Arabidopsis thaliana: one gene and its partners. The protein of the gene in region 3 interacts with the protein of the main gene of each other region in a pairwise test. Each region holds a gene or a part of one and is shown on either strand. Other genes may lie near its edges.

Region 1 (5,126 bases), on a different chromosome or scaffold from region 3:
AACTCAATGACTACCTTGTCAGAGGTGATTTTTAGTTTATATCTAGCAAGGATGTGAGACAATTCCAAGCTCACTGGAGCTAAATCATTATCATCCAATCCGGATAAAAGTTCGGTTAACTGACTTCTCACACCTCGTAACAGCTCCATAACAGCATCGTTGTGAACACATTCTATGTCCTAGAGGAGAGAAGCAAATCCGTAAGACACAAGCCATATATATACAGAAATATGTAAAAGATCATAACAAAATACACACCAGTTTCTCTGTGATGATATCTCCAAGCTTTGGATCAGCCACAGCTAAGATTTCACCATCATCACAGTTATTTTTCAAAAACTTGTGTAGACCCTTGCTTGGAGTTCAGATGTGTTGTCAAACTTATGAAAAGCTTTTAGCTTAACCATCCTTCGAGCTGACTCTGCAGAGTAGAACTCAGTACCCAAATCCTACAAGAACAAATTTGACATACTTAGAATATTAAAAACAAACGACACATATAGACAAGGTTAAGATCAATGAAAGTAAGAGAATGAATAAGGTAAATAACCTCAACATTAGAGAGCTTTCCTTCATCTAATACTTTAAAGAGTGCAAAACCACCTGACGTCTCAAACAGTACGAGCATCTTTAAGATTACGAGAAACCCTTTAATCAACTCAACATCTCAAAGTCAGAACTATACTTAGTCAAAAACTAATACTTGGAAGCCACGTTCCACTGACAACGGAGAAAGATTCAATAAATACCTAAGAGGATTTAAGCAAAGCTGCTGCGTTAGAGAAAGAAAAAAAGAGGAGCAACGAATTTGCTATAAGGGTTCGAGATTCTTAATCGACGATCTATATATATAAGAAAATAAATATATGATTTTCTATTAAAAAGTTACGGAAAAAAAACATGTGAAAATATAATTTTCACAAAAAACTAAAAAAAAACCTTTAAAAAAAAAACTATTCTTATTTTCTTAAAATGGTATATTTCTAAAAAGAATTATACAATTAATTTTTAAAGATGTCAAAATAACCGACCTTACTTCTAAGGGAAAAGATTATCAAAAACAAAGTTTATTTATTCTCTATCAAAAACAGAGTTTGATCTGCTAATTTTAATATACAAATTGTAAAATATATGATTACCTTAAAGAAACTATAAAATTAATTACTAATTCGAAAAATGATTATAGTTACTTTTTTAATAAAATGTTGGTATAAATATGTTCATCTAATCTACGTTACATACATAATCTTAAATTAATCTCAAGTACTCTGTTCAAAGTTCAAACACATCACCTAACAAGATGACCATTAAGGAATCAAAAAGTGTTCAGCTAAAGGCTAAAACTCATGTAAAATTACAAGCAAAAGCTCCAAAAACTGTGTTCTTCTTTTCTGAGAATCCAAATTCAAATCACTAACTTGAATTTAACATCAACAAACTAGTAAGTGGAATTGCAAAACTGATTCAAACAATTTACTTTCAACTTCGAAAGGGTTCACATCAGAGTATCAAACAATAAAGGAAAAAAGGTTTACAAAAACTTAAATTGGATCAAGAATCTCTGTTTACAATGAGACAAAATCAGAACAAGTTCTGAAGATTACAACCACATCATATCAGACATGACGTCTAAAGTCGGAATCTCCGAAGTTGATCATTGCATTGGTGTTATCGAGACCGAAGTAGCTGTTTAGACCAAACACATCATCGTTGGATAGATCATTCCAAAAGCAGATCTCATCATCCAAATTGACATTGGCCTCTGTTTGTGTTTCTTGTAGTAGTAGATTGATTTGGTTAATCTCTTCCTCTGTTTCAAATCCTTGGATCTCGGAGCTAGGGTTTTGATCAAAAGAAGCAACTTGTGAAGATGATTCTCCACAGATCTGATAGAGAGAGGAGTAACAGTCCTGATCAAAAGACGGAGACGAGAGGTTAGGGTTTTGATCGCCATGGAAAGAAGAAAAGGTTTGATCGCTGCAATACTCGTTGACAGAGTTTGGAGTAAAAGTAGAAGCAATTTGCGAATAAGAAGATCCATCACAATCCTCGACGTCGAGAGAACAAGTACTATTAGGGTTTTGGTCGAAACTAGAAACAAGTTGAGATTTTTCTTCCTTCTCAAGGCAAGCCATCACATGCTTCTTCATTCTCTGTAAACGATCCTCGATAATGCTTAACTCAGAGAGATCATCACACGAATGGTAGAGATCAGGGTCTTCCCACCAAAATCCTAGTTTGGATCCGGCCGGGTTAACAATCTTGGGTGGAGGCTTGCGATTTAGGTAACAATCAGCGATTTCGTAGGCAGAGGAGTAACCGGAGAAGGAATAGACAACATCGGAACTATCGGAGGGAGAGGTTACGAAGACGGCGATGTTAGCACCGGAGATAAGACAGAGATCGGCGGCTTTGGAAAAAACAGTTTGACGGCGTTTAGAGCAAGTCACGGCTCGTTGCTCTTTGGTTTCTCGTTTCTTTATTTCGATTTTGCGCTTTGTTCCTTTCTTCATCATCGTGGAATCAGATGAAGGCATAATGTTTCTTACGGAGAGACAAATAGACACAGAGAAAAAGTGAAAAGAGAGAGTAGAAGCAAGATAGATATATTACCCATATTTATAGATGTAATAGCCGCCTGAGTTATATATGTCAAACTTAATTAGGTCTTGTTGTTTTCCTTTTACTGCCCAACTTTATTTCTATGCATTTAACGTTTTTTTTCTTTCCTACTAAAACGTTTTAGAGATTTCTTTTATTACAACAATAGCAGAAAAAAATTATTACTACTATAAACAATTAAACATATATATTGGATATTCAAAATTATCTAAATATTAGATTTTAACCCGCGTTATACCGTAGAAATAATTTATTTTTTTAAATCAGTATATATAAAAGTTTGCAAATTATATCTATCTATAAAATAAAAATATTTTATAGTTTACAATTGTTATTAAGTAACGTTCTTTCAAACCCGTTCCGCCAAACTCGTCCCGTAAAAAAACCCAGTGGTACACCGTTAATTTAAATATATAATTAAAATAAATATTTTACGGGATTGCAATTGTATTTTAGTTTGTCAAACAAATTTTTTTAAAAATATTTGTCGAAATCTAATTCAAATTTTGGAGAAATTAGATTTAGTGAATTGATAAGAAATGTATTTAGGTGCATTTTGCTCATTTTAAGGGATTGCAATTGTATTTTGGTTTGTCAAACATTTTTTGTTTTAAATAGTTACCGAAATTTAGTTCAATTTTGGAGAAATCTGCGTGATATATGGGATTAGAATATATTTGGAATTTTTTTTGCTTGTTAATTAATTTATTGCAAAAAAAACAATAATTAAAAGCTAGTGGCAGCCATTATAAATAAGTTCCAACTCTAAGATTTATTTCACAAAATGGCGGCAAAAATGTATATGTAGATTTAGTTACCTATAATCAATGTTCAAAAAATCGTTGTACGGTAGCTAGACGTTCGATAGATGTCTAGGCTATTTTTTTGAACATTACCTATAATAAGTACATAAAACACTATATATTAAACTTTTTCGCGGCAACTAAATCTAATAATACTAAATCAACAGTCACTTTTAAAAAAACTGTAAGCTTCTCATTTTGACACGTATGCTTTAAGTCTAAAATTTTGCACTTCCACAATCGTAAACCAATTCACTTCCTTTTACTATTCAATAGAATATTCTTTTTTGACAAAAGATAAATTTAAATTTTTTTAACCACTTTTTCAGCAACTACTTCTTCCACGTTATTAAGATTCTTTACTTTCTCTCCCATCTTTCAAACCCTCTGCCAGTTAATTTACGATCTCAAGAGCAACCGTATAAGCCATTCTCAAGAAGATAAAAACAGGTTTAAATTCTTCTTCTTCTTTCCTTTCTCATAATCTTAGATCCTCCATTCTTTCATCTAAATACGTCTACCAGAGAAACGAAAGAATGACGTAAATAATGAAAGTTGAGACTTTTGTGATACCTAATGTGATGGACGCTGTTAACCCCTCACGACTCACTGAGTTTGGTCCACCCAATCGCTGGTATGAATATCAATAAACCTTTGGCCGTTTTGTTGCGTTTTACTTGGTCTTATCTTCTTACATTTTCCATGCACACCCGCTGCTACAAAATGACCACATGAGTTTGCGAGAATCATATAGAAACAAAATGGATGCAAATGTTTTGGGGCTTTCAATTCAGAAAAAGAAGAAGAAGAAGAAGAAGATAACCAAATTGAGAGATGGGTGGCATGACATGACATCTTCTTCCACGGTGTAGTGTGCAAAATAATTTAAATGTGAAACCATCTTATATGTTCAAGTTTAGAAAAGCGTTTTGGTTAGAAGGTAATTCATTTCTCCATCATTATTATTGTTAAGTTTTTTGAGAAGAAAAAACGGCTCTGTATATATATATATATTTTTTTCTATATATCTATGAGATAAGTTAGTGTATTTATGTAAGATTATTTGCTGTTTCCAATAAAAGTTTTCTTAATTTTAACACATATATTATTTTACAATTTGAGTAAAGTTGAATAGGACTTTTATTGAGAGTTATAGAGCAATGTGTGATACACATTGTATTTTGTGAGGTTGTGATATTCGTCATTTGTGTAATTGTTGCAAATTTCAAAGACACGAAATATATTATTGGTATTGTTGTTTTGCGTGCAAGGCACGGGCTGCCTACTAGTTTACTTACAAATAAAAAGACTTTATAAATTAAAATCCAGTTCGATAGGTGTCTAGGCAGATTTTTTGAACATTACCTACAATGATTACATAAAACACTATAGATTAAACTTTTTCCACGGCAACTAAATTTAATTAAAAATAAAAAAAACTTTATGAATTAAAATCCAGTTAAATATTTTAAAACATATATGTTCAGTAGTAAATTTTGATATTGACGGAACCATTATCACGAAATATTCAGAAAGAATTTTGATTCATATTCATCACAAAATTTATAGCACAATAAAAATATATACACACACAAAGTAGGTAGACTCTAGATTTTATTTATCTTTTGAAATTTCTAAGGTCTGGTATGATTTGCCTTATGCTCAACCCAATCCATTTCCAATTGACTATTAAGGTACTTT
Region 2 (5,614 bases), on a different chromosome or scaffold from region 3:
TCCATATATATACATAAGAACTTTTTTTGGTAATCACGATCCGTTTAATCTATGTATTTAATTTACACATACTAAAACAATTCAAGGTATAGTCGATCTTATCTGAACGTTGTAGTAAGCATAACTGGTCACCAAAAATATGTTCTTAGTTGAAGTACACACTTGAATCCAACCCAAAAAACCTCGTCAGTGTTGGGATGATACACGAAGTGAAGCCTATAGTTGAAATAGAACGCTAGGAAGCCATTTTTCTAAAAAAAAATCTTAATGAATACTTAGTAGGTGATAGGTACAGATAGAGATACATTAAGGCTTGTGTTAATTTCAAATTACCTTAGGCCCATAATATATGCATATCCTAAAATATACCTTATTTTCTTAATATCTCAGCTTTTTATTTAAAATTTTCAGAAGAGCCAAATCAATTTAACCATATTCAATCTTAATACAGTCTTTAAAACGGTTTTTAAAGGAGAAGCTTCAGGTGGCACGCATCGAACTAGGAAGACCCTCTAAATCAAGGAGAAGTATCAGAAGGCACTTTACTTAAACACCACAGTCTACTGCTTCTACTTGGAGTTGTATTCACTGAATTACCTGCCTTAGCAACTGCAAACAAAAAATAGAAAACCAGTCTCTGTCCCATCGGAGAGGCCTTACACGGGACCAAAGCAAAGGCCTTTGGGGTGCTCTTTAGGGTCACATGAGCTAAGGATGCTACTCGGTGGTGCAAGGGAGTTATAACTCTTTCAAGATTTCTCCCATTCTTGAAAGAATCCAGAAAGCAAGATTCGCAAGTGTTCGGGAATATGCTTCAAGAAGCCCATGCATGACCAATGTCCTGAAAACAAAGAAGAAGGATTTAATATCGACAAATAATTGTATTGTAAAGTATGACATGTTTCAGAACATAAACTAAGAAAGATGTAATTAGTTCTGTTTATGTTTACATTGCCATATTGGATCTTTGTGGCATTAAGAAACGAGTGAGGAAGATTAGAGTGTTTGGATTTGATCTGATTTCTAAGCGCTTCTTTTCGGTTCAAGAGTGATTCACTGCGACCAATTTCAACAATGGTTCTCCTCGTATATATACTCAATGGTACTTCTCCTCCTATATATACAACTTCCGTCCTGAACTCTCTTCAAAATATTTAATCATATAAGTATTTAACCATAATGAAGGCTTGAAAAGTATTGATGTTTTTTGGAAACAAAATCCTATCTGATTTTGGCAGATCTATTTAGTTATGCATTTTAAGAACAAAAAGCTCGTAAAAAATAATTTGTGACCAAACAGAAATGACTTCATTGAAATAGAACTGACTTAAAGGTAAAACCTTCAACTCTTACAACAACTAATTGAAAAGGAAAAGCATAATTAAATACTGGTCTTTTAAAACAAACAAAACACAAAATGCACACTACTGAAACACATCACACATTGTTGTTGTTGTTGTTGTTGGTGGTGGTGGTGGTGGTGGAAGGCATGTGACCGGTGGAAGTAAGACCAACGGTTGGTGGCTGGTGGTAGTTGTAGTAGTTTCCGTCCATGAAAGGGATGTGTGCATGCTCTCCAACATAACCCGCTTATTCATAAGGATATTCTGTCAACATATTCATGAATGGATCATTTTGAAACGGATACTGATTTGGATCCAAACTCATATTCTGGTTCAAATTCATATCATAGTTTCCTTGTTGAATCTGATGATTAAAATCAACAGGAGCTTGGTATTGAACCGGCTCCTGTTGATTTTGATTCAAATTCATATTCTCAAACTGAAAATGATCACTAAAACCAGTAGGGACATAGGGCTGAACCGGCTCATACTGATTCTGATTCATAGGAAGACCGGCACCTGCAACACCAAGAGCTTGGTAGTGAACCGGCTCTTGTTGATTTTGATACAAATTCATATGCTGATATTGAACATTATCACTAAAAACAGTAGGGATATAAGGCTGAACCGGCTCATACTGCAACTGACTCATAGGAAGACCGCCACCCGCGACAGCAAGACTCTGGTAGTGAACGGGCTCATACTGATTCTGAGTCATAGGAAGACCGGCACCCGCAACAGCAAGAGCCTGGTAATGAACCGGCTCTTGTTGGTTTTGATTGAAGTTCATATTCTGATATTGAATATGATCACTAAAACCAGTAGGGACATAGGGCTGAACCGGCTCATACTGATTCTGGTTCACATTCATGTTATGAAATCCAGTAGGAACATTAACCGCAGCTTGATCTGCAACAACAGGAAGATTGGCACCCGCAACAGCAAACAGAGGAGGAACAGTTACCGCAGCTTGATCAGCAACAACAGGAAGATTGGCACCCGCAACAGCAAACAAAGGAGGAACAGTTACCGCAGCTTGATCTGCAACAACAGGAGGATTGGCACCCGCAACATCAAACAGAGGAGGAACAGAAGAAGAAGACTCACCATATTCTGTAAGGAACTTCTTCCTGGCATTAAGCTGATTAAGATATTGATCAGTAAAAAGACTTAAATCTTGAAGGTCCCTTGCACCATACTGTTGCTCACTCATCTTGCCTCCAACGCAATCAAACATAAAATGCTTAAGCTGAGTTTCTCGGTTTTCACGACGTAGACTCTCTAGTTTGTTTTGTTCTTTGGTGATTTGGTCCCGCAAGAAAGTCTCATGACTCATCATCGTCTTGGACCGTTCTGTCGCCGGCTTCTCCATGAACTCCGAAATCACCTCTTGAACACCTTCGGTTGACGGCCACACCGTTGGATTCTCGAACGGACTGTAGATTACCGCACATGCTTTGATGTCACAGAGAGTTGTCAGCTCGTGGAGTTTCTTCCTTATCCCTGCATTCCTCTTCCTGAATGTGGCTCTCCGAAAGTGTCTATCAGGTATGAGTACTAACTTAGTCTTCGTCCTCATTATCTTTATTTTTCTTTTCTTTGGTGTTTGTGTTTGTTTAGTTTCTTGGCCCAAGACTGTTTATATAGCAACGAAAAGGGTGATTTTTTACTCAGGGTGTGGCTTATCACGTTTCTGGACTCATTAATTTGTAGTTACAGCATTAAATCTTTTGGCTACTGTCTTATTAATTGATTAGGCCACTAATTAAAGCTATGACTAAGATTGGATTCTCTTTTCTCTTTACTAAATATAGTTTATCTTCGTATATTACTCACTTTTCTTTTAAGAGTAATATTAAGCTTTGATAAACTGTGAAAATTTCTAATATTTTAAGTGTTTTTCTTTTCTTTTCGAATAGAGTTTTACAGCTTAATTTCCATGTAAAATCATGAATATATAAAAGCTTAGGAACTTTGTTTATCTATAGTAAAATTATTTCGGGAAAGAATTAACGTGTCTTACGAAATATTTAGAACGAGCGAAAATTTTGAAATATGTAGACATTAAAGGAAGCCTACATAGAAAAAAGTTTGTAAACCAATATAATAAAATAATAAATATCATTAAAATTTCTATCATGTTTTAATATATAAAAAATGCTCTTTTATATGTATAAAAATTTATCTTTACAATAATAAAATATAAAAAATAATAATAAAGTAATAAAGAAATTTTTCCTTATAAAATATTAAAATCACAGATTTAGTTATATGAATTAAATTTTTAATAAAATATTTTTAAAAAATCTGCCATGGCCAGAAGGTCCATCTAATTTTGTTTAGTCAATAAGTTGATTTTAATTAAAAGGAAATAAGGGTAAAACTGTCTTTATACATTAATATAATAATATATATGGATTTTTTCCATCTTTTGACTTATACACTAATATGACTATTTATGACATTAAAACGTATCAATTAATGTACACGTGTAAAATCATGATTGGATATAAAAGAAAATCAGTTATTTTAGAGATAAATTATGAATTCATGCATATATTATACCTTTTGGAGCATATATTTTTCTTAATTTGGTTAAAATATTCATTGTACTGCCAGCTAATTATGAGCTGTAAATATTTGAAACTAGAAATTTGACAAGAGGTTTAGAGCACTTCCAATGGTTTTCACATATCCCAAAAAAGTATCCCAACTTTTAAAGTCTTAATATTTTTAATAATTTTAATTTAAAAATAAAAATGAACAATTAAAAAGAGACAATTGTAAAGTTCTAGTTAGTATACCCAAAGTTCTTATTTGAGAAATTTTCTCTTCTTTCTATCTTAAATTTTTTTTTAGTTATGATTATAATGGGGGAGTATCTTATTAAGACCCTCCAATAATTTTCATTTTTATTTATATGTCTAGTTAGGATGTTTGAACTATATATATAGGTCATGTTCAAAAGTTTAGTTAAAGATTTTTTAAATATGGTAAAATAATCTTTTGAAAAGTTATAGGTCCTTATTGAGTTATATGTATATGAAATTTTTTACAAGAACAGTTTTTTGGTAATCAAGATCCATTTGATCTCTATACTTGCTATATTGAAAACAATTATGGTCTGTTCGATTTTCTTTGAGTTAGTAAGCATAATTGGCCTTTAACAATATTTTGTGTTAGTATCGGATGGCACAGTTGAACTTAAATCCAACCCAAAAAACCTCATTAGTGTCGGGATGATAGACGAAGTGAAGCTTGCCATTTTGTTATACTTATTAGGTAGTATGTACAAACGGAAACTCATTAAGGCTTTGTGCTAATTTCAAATTATCCTTAAGCCCATAATATGTACATATCCAACCAAGATAGATCCCTTCTAAATGAAGACTTCTTATACTCCAATCTTGCTAGTGACTTAATGGAAGTGTGCAAAAGATAGTGGCTTGGTGAAAATACCTGTTAGTTGATCATTTGTCGAGATGACAGCTAATGCTTCATTCAAAGATGGAAGTCGGGATAGTAACCTAATTGAGATTCAAATTAGATTTCAAGAAAGTAGTAATTAAAATGATTCTAGTCTAGTATATTATAAATAGATTATGGTTTTGGACATTTTTGTTTTGAATATACCTTATTTTGTAAAGTATTTTCTGGAAGAGACTAATAAATTTAATCATAATCAATCGTATCAATTTTTTTTCCCGGATTAAAAATTTGCTTTTCACCGTGAAGTTATGAACAAAATTGTATGAATTCGTACTTTAACTGCAATATGTTAATACATTTACAACATCTCAGGCTTCATAATTTAAAACCTTCAAAGTAAAGGAGAAGCTTCAGGTGGCACGCATCGAACTAGGAAGACCCTCTAAATCAAGGAGAAGTATCAGAAGGCACTTTACTCAAACACCACAGTCTACTGCTTCTACTTGGAGTTGTATTCACTGAATTACTTGCCTTAGCATCTGCAAACAAAAAATCTAAACCAGTCTCTGTCCCATCGGCTTTGTTCATGTCATCGGTTAAAGAATGCCTTACACGGGACGAAAGCAGAGGTCTCTCAGGTGTCCTATAAGGGTCACGGGAGCTAGGGAAGCAACTCGGTGGTGCAGGAGAGTTAGGGTTGCTTAAAGAATCTTCTTTCAAGATTTCTCCCATTCTTGAAAGAATCCGGAAAGCTAGATTCGCAAGTGTTCGGGAATATGCTTCGAGAACCGCATGACCTATGTCCTGAACACAGAGAAGAAAGATGTTTCAGACCATTGGAC
Region 3 (6,097 bases):
CCATTTCCAAAAGAGTGTGTGGATATGAATTTGAACAAAGAAACATTGGTGATGAAATTAAAAAAGAAAAGGAAAGATTACTACAAAGTGAAAAGTATGAAATTATGAAGACTACCCGATCTTCTTTGCCTCCCTTTCCGTATTTGGCATGCCCCTAACCACTACCACAACCTCTTCCCTTCGGAACTTTGTAAATAAACATTCACTGTTTTTTTTTTTGCTTTTTAAATAGCTGTTAATTGTACAAATTCATTTACATGGCTTACTGTTTTTCAAAAGGAGATACTAAATAGTATATAGTACTATAATTTTGTCCACCATGTTCTATGAAACTCGTCCAAACATAAAAAGGTTTTTATATCATCAAACGTACGACTTTCCTTTGTTATTTTCTTGGATTGGACACAACGAGATTGGTTTGGTCACTGTCCGATCTAGTTATTGATATATATATATATATATATATATATATATATATATATATATATTTTTTTAATATAATGTAGATGTAGCCCACTAACTTTTGATAAGCTTTCATTTTTCTATACTTTCATTTTTCTATAATGTAAAAAGATAGATGAAAATGAAACTACTAGATTACAACTTTTTAACAAAAAATAAAAAACTACTAGATTACAGCTCTTGATTGGTTGATAACTTGATATCATATATCGTGTTTGTAGTTGAAGATGTAAAGATTTATCATCTTGTATTTGAATTTTGCACAATATATAATGTGATGATTCTATGTTTGTTTGTAAACTTATGTGCAAATGGGCGATAACTAAACGTTCGTAAAATAGTTACATGTACTAATTAATCGAAGCACATAAATATTATATATATATATATGTATATATATGAAACGATTCATTGATTTTAAGTATTTAATTTATTTTTTAAGATTTTAGTTGTCTTAACCTCGTACGAAGAAGAAGGATATATACTATTTAACTCGTGGAGATGATGAGGTTCGGATATTTTTCCTTAAGACCACAAGACACTGACACGCCGACTGATCGATAAAAAAAGTTAAGGCCTACAATACAAAAGAGTAGCAGATTCCCTTACACGTGTTTCATTTATGATCTGTTAATTAACTCCATTGAGCTTCAATATCTCATTAGCCGAAAATTAACTTGACGTTTTCCATTGAACTGTCGAAAAAATTTGTAGAAAAAGTGAAATGTCCCCTATTTAACTTCCAAGTTTAAAACCTAAAATTAATTAGTTACCGTTTTGATGAATAACGTTGAAAGAATCGTCAACATATCAAATGATGCAGATACAACAAGGGACAAAAACATCAAAAAATTGATTAAAAATAATCATTCAGATATTAGCAATTAAACTGTAAGTAAATGATTGCATATATATATATGAATGAATACATATATATGTATCAAACTGTAAGTAAATAATACATACATATATATATATATATATAGGAAAATATCTCATTTTTCAATCATTTTCAGAGGTAAACATTTTTAAAGACAATTTTACCTAACCCAACATCTTACTATATTTAACCAGCTCTGCGAGAGCTTCAAAACAATGATGAATTTTCTGCCCCTTTTCATTGACCAAATAAAAGTTCACAAATTTGTAAAACCAATCAGCATTAATTTCGCACGTAGTTTACTTCGTCCGATTTTAGATCAAGTAGACATTTTAACCAAACATATTGAATCACGGTTCAATCAAGATACATGGTTGCGAGTATAATATATCAATCCTTCACCGCATTAGAAAACCAAATTTTCTATTTAATTTAGCGTGTTCTTTTAATGAACGCAGCGTCAGCGACAACAAAGAAGAAAAACAGATCTGCGGCGAGAAAAAATACATTGATTAGAGAAGAACTGCCGCAAAAGATGTACGATGATGAAGATTGACGTGACGCTGCTTAATTTCAGCGATTCATTTGATGCAATTGCAATTCATCGGCTATCATCGGCGACTCATCCGAAATTGTTATTTTCAAGCTTTAATGTCGTTTTACTTACCTACTACTTCTCATGACACGTCGTTTCAGTCCGCTATTGCCGCTGGCGCAGCATCAAATAAAAGAACACGCTAGGATAGCTTGAAAAGGGTACAATAACTAGTTATAGAAGAACATGAGCCATAACATTTGGAAACAAAATGAGTTAGTTTGAATTTGAAACATCGCGCTCTATGTAAAAAAAGCAAAAAAGAAAAGAAAAGAGTCCTAATAATTAAAAAGAGAAAATAAAAGGAATTTTCAATGGTCCGACTGTTACAAGTAGATTTCCATTTTTAGGAATCTAGCTATAACGATGAAGACAGAGTTATCATTTTGTTCCATCAAATATATGACGATATTTATATTTAATTTCTTCAACAACAAATATCTCATTTGTTGGTGCCACTTTCACATACTTAGGACGACTAATAATTAATTAAAAAGGATTTATGTAATAACGCACCATATTAACCTGTAACAAGAAGAATTGAAAGTAATACAAGTTTATATATATAGCAACACATTTATCGTGTACGATACTTTATTCCTTTTATCTATTCTTGAAAAAAAGTTACCAATTCTTGAGAAGAAGAAGAAATCAGAATCAAGAGAAGGAGAGAGAAAGATGGGAAGAGGGAGAGTGGAGATGAAGAGGATAGAGAACAAGATTAATAGACAAGTGACCTTCTCAAAAAGAAGAAACGGTTTGCTGAAGAAAGCTTATGAGCTTTCTGTTCTTTGCGATGCCGAAGTTGCTCTCATCATCTTCTCAAGCCGTGGCAAGCTCTACGAGTTTGGTAGTGTTGGGTATATATATCTTTGCTCCTTTGAACCAACTTTTGTGCTATATATATTAAGATTCATCCAATAAAGCTATGTTTTTTATATGAAAATTGATTAATAAATGGGTTCATTTGCTACTTGTTACATCGTACGATTCAAGAGTCGGATCATGTTTTGATCTTGTGGTTATTCTTAATGGTTGTATCGTTTATCCTGTGGTAATTAGGGTTCATCGTTATATCGTGTCTCCCTCTTGGATCCTTTATCATAAGCTAATAGGTCCTTCCGTACGTTATAATTTGTTGATTTCCCATTCATGAATTCCTTTGATTCTTTAATCTTACAGATGACAGGTTTCAAATGGGTTTAATTCTAGCTTTAAAAAAAAAAAAAACAAACAAACTAGGGTTTTCCCTTTTAGATCAGTGTGTAAGATATATAACTTGAGTTCTTGTCGTAAGAAGAATCTTTATTTGTTGAATCGAGCTAATGATCTCCCATTTTTGTTTTAATTGAATTTGTAGAATTGAAAGCACAATCGAACGGTATAATCGTTGTTACAACTGCTCTCTAAGCAATAATAAGCCTGAAGAGACTACACAGGCAAGTGTGTGTACGTACTTTGAATATATTTACAATTATTGTTTCTGATGATAATGATTCTAGCTAACTCTATTTTCTCAAATTCTCATGTTACTATATATATGCATTTCATATAATCTATATGGTGCAGAGTTGGTGTCAGGAGGTGACAAAGCTTAAATCCAAATACGAATCTCTTGTTCGTACTAACAGGTCTAGTAATTAAGAGTTTTCTATAACCCCTTGAAATTAAATCGTTATTGTCATCTTCCATTATATATGTATAGTTACAAATCTATTGTTATGGGTGTTGATAATTGCTAATTATAAAAGGAATTTGCTTGGAGAAGATCTTGGAGAAATGGGTGTGAAGGAACTGCAAGCGCTCGAGAGGCAGCTCGAAGCCGCTCTTACCGCGACTCGACAGCGCAAGGTCACATGATCTAGACTGGTCTTGTTTCATTAAAAATATATTCATAACTAAAACATTCAACTAAAATATGCAGACACAAGTTATGATGGAAGAAATGGAAGACCTTAGGAAAAAGGCAAGTTATATAAAAATGTTTCATACCAAACTGCAAAACATATATGCATATCAATCAATCTATGTTTGAAATGGCAGGAGAGGCAACTAGGAGACATAAACAAACAACTCAAGATTAAGGTTTTTATTTCTAGACATCGCAAAATTATATTATAACTTCTCATATAATTAATTATGACATTTGGATCTTAACTAAACATAAATTTTCAATAGTTTGAAACGGAAGGCCATGCTTTCAAAACCTTTCAAGACTTATGGGCAAACTCGGCGGCATCGGTGGCCGGGGATCCAAACAATTCTGAATTTCCGGTAGAGCCTTCTCATCCTAATGTATTGGATTGCAACACCGAACCCTTTTTACAAATAGGGTAAGAATATACCATTTTTCCCGGCCCTTACAAATAAATGGATAGAAATAAGATATGATTATAAGACTTGTTTGGTATTTGGATTAGGTTTCAACAACATTACTACGTGCAAGGTGAAGGGTCTTCGGTATCAAAGAGTAACGTGGCAGGTGAGACTAATTTCGTCCAAGGTTGGGTTCTTTGACTCTCTGTTGATTAGACCACGATGCCACGGTCAGGCCAATTTCAGCTCTCTACAGTTGTTCTTTTTTCAAATTAGATTTCTGGGTTTTTTTTTCCTATAAGAAAAACTTTTGCACTAGATGTTTGTCATTTAATTTCCAGCTCGTGTGAATCTATATTCGCATGTATGTGCTTTGAAGAATTTCTCCTCTTACTCCTACTTGATCTAAAACATTATTTTTGTTTTGGTTTTACCAACATTTTCCAAATGAAATAAACTTTAATAATTGTTCTAAAATCAATTAAATGAATAGATTTATTTGGCATGAATACTATTAAATCTCAGACATATATTTATGAATGCTGAATTGTGAATAGTAGGAACAAATAATAAATCGTGCGACGTCGAATCAATTGGGTGACGAATAATCAAAGGAGGATTCAGCTCAACTACGCAAGTAGGAGTAATGAACTTCCGAAACAATTGGGTGAGTAAATGAAATCAACCTGTAACTAAAAAAATGAACGAATAATAAAATGCCACGTAGTTGACCTTGGAAAAAGCGCAATGATATGAAGCCAGGTAGGACCCACATTGCTGTTTCTTGATTTGACTTTTGGAAGAGAAGAGCTCCTCTTTCTTTAGCAAACTTTACTGTTGTTGATATATGTCTTTTCCATAAAGTCTTCATATTTATTGAGGTTTTTTTTTTTTTTTTACATACTAGAATTTAAGTTTTTAATACTCTCTTATATTTATGGGCTGTTATCGCAAAGTAGGCCCTTTTATAAGTGGGCCATTACAAAATAAATTCATGGGCCCATATAAATGTTAACGGCACATGTCATATCACAATCATGTATCTCTATTATCTAAAGATTCTAAACGATTTGAAATATTGGATTATGCGTATAATGTTTTTTTTTTCTTTGATGGGCTAAAAGCCTCTACAACATTTGGATTTATGCCCTAAATCTCCTCTCCCGGTGATCTTTTGAACTTGCTTGGGGGGGACGCAACTTCTTCCAAGACAGTCACACATGCTACTAGACCGATCTTTGTATTGTAGAGTTGCCACCGTTGTCGTGTATCAGCTCTTCATCTGAAATGATGCAGTTATTGATTTTTGGCCAATGGATAATGTTTAATGTGCTCTCATAATTTTCTTTATATTTTTTTACCAGTTTGGGAAGTTCTAGACCTCTAGTCTCTCGACTTGAGAAACCAGTAAGTTATATAGTACAGATATTCCTGATTTTATGATTTTGAGGGAAGAAAGCTAAATTGATACATGAAAACAAAACATAATCAAAATTACATTCTAGAGAGGCAAGTGTAAGAACATAGATACATAACACAAGCAGTTCAGAATCATTAAAGAAGTGACTGAGAGAGAGAGAGTGAGAGAGAAATAAGACAACAAGAGAGAAGCAGCTTTAGAGTTTTGTTACTTGTCCTTATACACTCTCAGTACTGCTAAACCTGTTTTTACTTAGTTTGTTTTTTTGTTTTTTTTGTTGAGTGGAGATCACTTTCTTGAAGAACAAGGTAACCCAATGAACAATTGCGTCTCTACTTCAGAACTTGGGCTACTCTCTTCATCACCTCTTCCAGTACTTTCTTGATTCTTATTTGACCAAACTTCGCTTTCATGAGATCCCCAC
Region 4 (5,071 bases), on a different chromosome or scaffold from region 3:
CTTTTGCTTAGAGGGAATCAAGAACAGCTAAGACAACCAGCTTGCCACTTTCTCTGTCTCTTTCCAATGTTCTTTTGTTTTTGGCCAAAGAAATAGATCAATACATCACAAAATTCTACTCATTATTTTGGATGATCCGCAAAATATTACATTTTTTTGTAACTTGATAATCGAATTTTGAGAGGAACAAAAAATTTAAGCTATATTGCATAAAACTTGGAATTATTCTTCTTCCTTTTGTTTTGTCAACTAAAACTTGGATTATTCAATCAGGGTGATAACGTAATAATCCTTATAATCTTTAACAAAAAGTAATATAATCTTAGTAGCAAGAAGGAAACATAAAATGATAAATCTGACACCACACCATGTTATGTTTCTTGTTCTTGAGCAGTAACCATTAACCAACCACAATCTCAAAAACACAAACTGAAGTAAATTTAACGCGTCATACATGTCTCTCAATAATGATCGTCTTCGTCTGCATCTTCGGCTTATTGGGTATTACTAATAGGCCTTATTGCAAATAAATGGACTTTAAAAATTAATATTGGGCCGGGCCATAAAAACCTGGTGAAAGGATTGAGTTTTGAGACCAAATTAACCTTGTGGCGAACCAAATCAAATAAAAAACAAAATCGTACCAAATTCCCGGTTATTTTACGCGGTGGTGTTCCTCTCTCGACAGAATCGGAGGTCTTCCGGCGATAAGGTTCGTGGGTTTTGCGTATCGTTTGTTGGGTACTCGCTGGGATTGTTGTTGCTGTTGTAGAATTGGATAATAGTGGGGAGTGCTGGAGCAATGTGATATCGACTTTCTTGATAAAACACAAGGGCTAGTTTAATTGCAGATATTCAATCAGCTCAATCTTTATCTTCTTCCTCATACCATTACTCAGAAACTACACAGAGATTCTTCTTCTGCAAAAAGTCTAGAGGCTTCACGAACTCAGATCCACTCTCCATCTCCTTGTATATATTAGTTGATTCAGACAAGAAGGATACTAAGTTGCAAGAATTAAGGTTTTAAGATTATAATTTGTTTCATGCAAGTTTTTGTGAAAGATTTTTTATGGAAGTTCATATATATATGTCAATACTAACTGAAAAAAGTATCAACTTAAAAGTAAAAACAAAATCTCCACAAATGGATTTGTTTTCTTAACAAAAAAAAAAAACAAATGGATTTGTTTTGCAGTTATAATGACACTATAAAATATTAAAAAAAACAGTAACAGAAGAAATCGGAAGCAGAAACAGCTTCAATCTCTCTCCGATCCGCTTGCTACTTAACTATTGACTGACTCTTAATGAAGCTTCAAAAAAACAAATTCTTTTGGACAGATTTTGTTATCAGAGAAGTCTTGAGTTGCCAGGAAAACAATAACTGCTAGGAATGTTGTGGAGAGGTGGCAGAGAAGATGTCTGTAGCAGACTGCTCGCATCATAGCTTGAAAACATGTCTTGAGAGAAGCTAATGTTACCGACCGCATTACCATAAGGGTTCTGGTTGAAATCAGAAGAGAATTCATGTGGAACCGTGTTTGAGAGATTAGGATGTTGTAGACCGTTGTTGTTGTTGATGATTTCACTCACCATACACATGTTCTGATCAAAACCATGAAGCTGATCCTGTTGCTGCATCAAGTGATTATTCAACCCGTAGTTATTCACTGCAGATGCTTGTACCGAAAGTAACGGTGAGTAGTCTTGTGTGTTTGACACGCCAGGATGTTCAAAGTTGTTGTTGGTGATGTTGTCCGAACACATGTTCTGACCAAAACCATGCTGCATCAAGTGATTCTGGTAATTGATGAGTTGATTGGAGTGTGGAGCAGACAGTGGGAGTTGTGAGAGAGTAGCATCTCCATGGTTGTACATAAACAGCGAGAACTTGCTAGGATTCAAGTGTTGGGTCTGGTTCAGATACGATGGTGTTAAACTCTGATGCACCAAGTTTGTGTTCTGTAGTTTCTGCGCCTCAACAATACGAAGCCTTTCTTGCAGAGTAGAAAGAGTCCGTTCTAAGGACTGAATCAATTGAGAGAGTTGTTGAGGAGAGTAATGATCAAAGTTTGGATACCAATTCTTCTTCAAATTCGTCTTCCCCTTGTCCTTGTCCTTCTCCTTCTCGAGGAACTCATGAAGATTGCGGCTCTTCTTGCGTTTTCTGGCCTCTTTATACCTCAAAGCCATGTCTTTCACTGTCTCTCTCTCCTTAGGCCATGTTCTCAGTTCACCGTCTGGTCCGTAATAGATGACGCAAACCTCAATAGCACAGAGAATCGAAAGCTCTTCAGCTTTCTTGAAGATGGTTTTAAGTCTATTTGTTAAACTTGTTGAATTACGTGACGAAGAAGAAGAAGAAGCTTGCTTCATCGTGACTTTGCCTTGATTCGGCAAGAAACTAGGGTTTTTTCCGAGAGAGAGAACACACGAAGAAGAAGTATTGTCGAATTGAGGGTGAAACATTGTGAACTCAATATGTTTATATAGATGCCTTGGTGCCTACGGGAACAAGCAAACGCGACGCGTCGTTGTTAATCGCGAGGCGTGAAGATCTACGCTCCTACGATTCGATTCGATTTCCAATATCTAATGTAGATTTCCTTAATTAATGTCTCGATGGTAGAGACCAAAAAAAAAGGAAACTTTTAATTAGTTTCTCGATGGTACTTTATTTTAGGCTGTACAAAATTAAGATCTAATTAAAAAAATACTATAGATTTGATTGTGTAATTATTAATTGTGCAACAAAAACTTGGAGGAAAAAGGAAAATCTGTCTCTAAGAAAAAAACTCTTAATTGTTAATTAAGGGTTTTCAAAAAATTGAAGAAAGATTTCAACTCATTTTATTTCTAGGTTTCTTCTATCTTTTTTTTTTTCTTTTTTTTTCAAATTTTTTTTTACGTTATAGTTGTTAATTAAGGGTTTTCAAAAATCTATAAATTGTTTCTCCAATCAGAATGTTGTGAAAAATAACTAACATAAAAACACTCTTCAAATAATTAAAACTAAATGTTCGAAGGGTATATATATACTCACTCTGTTTATTGCAAAATTACCACTGTAAACGCATCACAATTCATATTGTGGAAGATTAATTCTTGTTATATATGTATTAGCTAGTCAAGAAAATACACAATAATTGGGAATGTGGAAGTCGACAAATGTAGTAACCAGCTTGCCTTATTATAGACACAACAATATATATAATAGGGTACAATTAATGTCAGATTGATAACGACGATCCAATAGTGAACCACAAATCACGAATTTTCAACTCACAAATAGACTCGTTTCTTTGTTAGATGAAATGTACCAATCATATAAAACGACATTGTGATTGGCAATCACAAAGAAATATAAATTGTTTATGCCTCATTAAATATATTACTTGAATGGTAAAGTATTAAGATTTGTTTTGCGATCATGAAAGTTAACATTCTTATTTGTTGTGTATATCTCTGAACGTTCTTATTGGATTATGTTATGTGGGATCTGTTGCTGAAGTATCCCTTTAGATTCATTTCATAATCCAATTTTCTTTATTTGATAGTATATTTGATTGCAGTCAATAAATAAATAAACTCCCTATAGATTGTTTTCCATCAATTGTAAGAGTTTTTATTTCTATTTGTAACTGAGGTTTTGAGCAAAAAGTCCATGGTATAAAAAATACCCCTTAGTCAAACATGAGAGATTTCATGACGATATATAAAGCGTAAAATCGGGTAAAATATAAAGTTATAAACTAATTGTTGATCTTAGTATTAAGAATTTATTGCATTCGTTTCTTAATTTATTGCGTAAAATCGGGTTAAAATTAATCAAATGGTTGATCTCTTCAGAGCTAGGGCTTCATTTCTTACATAAACGTCGTGAAAATTTGATTATTAAAGTCCTCCAAAGATTAATAAATTAAAACAAACCAACAAGACCCCATTATAAATACACGCATAAACATTACTTTGTGTAAAAGATAACGTAGCCATTAACTTTTATGCATTAACTCCTTCATTTCTTTTTGTGCTCGTTTGGTTGAGAGAGAGAGAGGCTATATATGATGTTCCAACAAGATTACCCTCATGGCTTTTCACTCGTGGAAACATCCTTAAGTTACGAAATGTTGGATTACTTTCAAAACATCGTCGTTTCGAACTCTGAAGACGTGGCGTCACAGCAAAATTCCATTTCGTCCTCTTCTTATTCATCAGCGACACTCTCCTGCTCCATAACAGAGCAAAAATCTCACTTAACTGAAAAGTTATCTCCTCTACGAGAAAGATATGGTTGCGGTGACTTTCTGTCGCGGAAGAGGAGAAGGAGAAGTGAAAAAACGATTGTAGATAAAGAGAATCAAAGGATGAATCACATTGCCGTCGAGCGTAACCGGAGAAAACAGATGAATCATTTTCTGTCTATCCTCAAGTCTATGATGCCTCTCTCTTATTCTCAACCTGTGAGTTTCTTTCTATCTTTAATTTAGCTTATAGGATATAAGCAGGCTAAGCAATGTTGATAATTTGATATGTTCGGTTAAAATTTAGTTTAGACAAAGAGTGTTAAGGTTCCTTATTAAAAGTAAGCCGTTAATTAAATAATAGTAATTTAGTATATTTGTTTTTGAATCAATTACTAAATAAAATTGCGAATTGATAAATTTTTGGGTTTTTCCTATAATAGAATGACCAAGCATCAATCATAGAAGGGACCATTAGCTATCTGAAGAAGCTAGAACAACGTCTCCAATCTCTCGAAGCCCAATTAAAAGCTACTAAACTCAATCAATCACCAAATATATTTTCCGACTTCTTCATGTTCCCTCAATACTCCACCGCCACTGCCACTGCCACCGCCACTGCCTCCTCATCCTCCTCGAGCCACCACCATCACAAGCGACTAGAGGTGGTTGCTGACGTGGAGGTTACAATGGTAGAAAGACATGCCAACATTAAAGTGTTAACGAAGACACAGCCAAGATTGCTCTTCAAGATTATCAATGAGTTTAACTCTTTAGGTTTAAGTACTCTTCATCTCAACCTCACAACTTCCAAAGACATGTCTCTC

What was found.
Region 1: the proteins of AGL6 (region 3) and AGL39 interact in a two-hybrid assay, tested with the Arabidopsis thaliana proteins (one large-scale study listed by BioGRID).
Region 2: the proteins of AGL6 (region 3) and AGL92 interact in a two-hybrid assay, tested with the Arabidopsis thaliana proteins (one large-scale study listed by BioGRID).
Region 4: the proteins of AGL6 (region 3) and AGL78 interact in a two-hybrid assay, tested with the Arabidopsis thaliana proteins (one large-scale study listed by BioGRID).

What each region holds. Positions count from the first base shown.
Region 1 is NC_003076.8:9,544,044-9,549,169, reverse strand, and holds AGL39 (AGAMOUS-like 39), read right to left. Parts: upstream 2,624-5,126; 5' UTR 2,538-2,623; coding exon 1,617-2,537; downstream 1-1,616. Other genes in the region: AT5G27140 (NOP56-like pre RNA processing ribonucleoprotein), read right to left, coding at 15-179, 259-351, 405-449, 551-628.
Region 2 is NC_003070.9:11,321,255-11,326,868, forward strand, and holds AGL92 (AGAMOUS-like 92), read right to left. Parts: upstream 2,923-5,614; coding exon 1,665-2,922; intron 1,575-1,664; coding exon 1,438-1,574; downstream 1-1,437. Other genes in the region: ROPGEF14 (RHO guanyl-nucleotide exchange factor 14), read right to left, coding at 5,220-5,576. UniProt on the Arabidopsis thaliana protein: Putative transcription factor.
Region 3 is NC_003071.7:18,801,838-18,807,934, forward strand, and holds AGL6 (AGAMOUS-like 6), read left to right. Parts: upstream 1-2,352; 5' UTR 2,353-2,615; coding exon 2,616-2,797; intron 2,798-3,297; coding exon 3,298-3,376; intron 3,377-3,506; coding exon 3,507-3,568; intron 3,569-3,688; coding exon 3,689-3,788; intron 3,789-3,861; coding exon 3,862-3,903; intron 3,904-3,980; coding exon 3,981-4,022; intron 4,023-4,115; coding exon 4,116-4,270; intron 4,271-4,357; coding exon 4,358-4,454; 3' UTR 4,455-4,749; downstream 4,750-6,097. Other genes in the region: AGL20 (AGAMOUS-like 20), read right to left, coding at 5,962-6,096. UniProt on the Arabidopsis thaliana protein: Probable transcription factor. Forms a heterodimer via the K-box domain with AG, that could be involved in genes regulation during floral meristem development.
Region 4 is NC_003076.8:26,107,634-26,112,704, reverse strand, and holds AGL78 (AGAMOUS-like 78), read right to left. Parts: upstream 2,380-5,071; coding exon 1,354-2,379; 3' UTR 1,302-1,353; downstream 1-1,301. Other genes in the region: AT5G65320 (basic helix-loop-helix (bHLH) DNA-binding superfamily protein), read left to right, coding at 4,065-4,463, 4,688-5,071.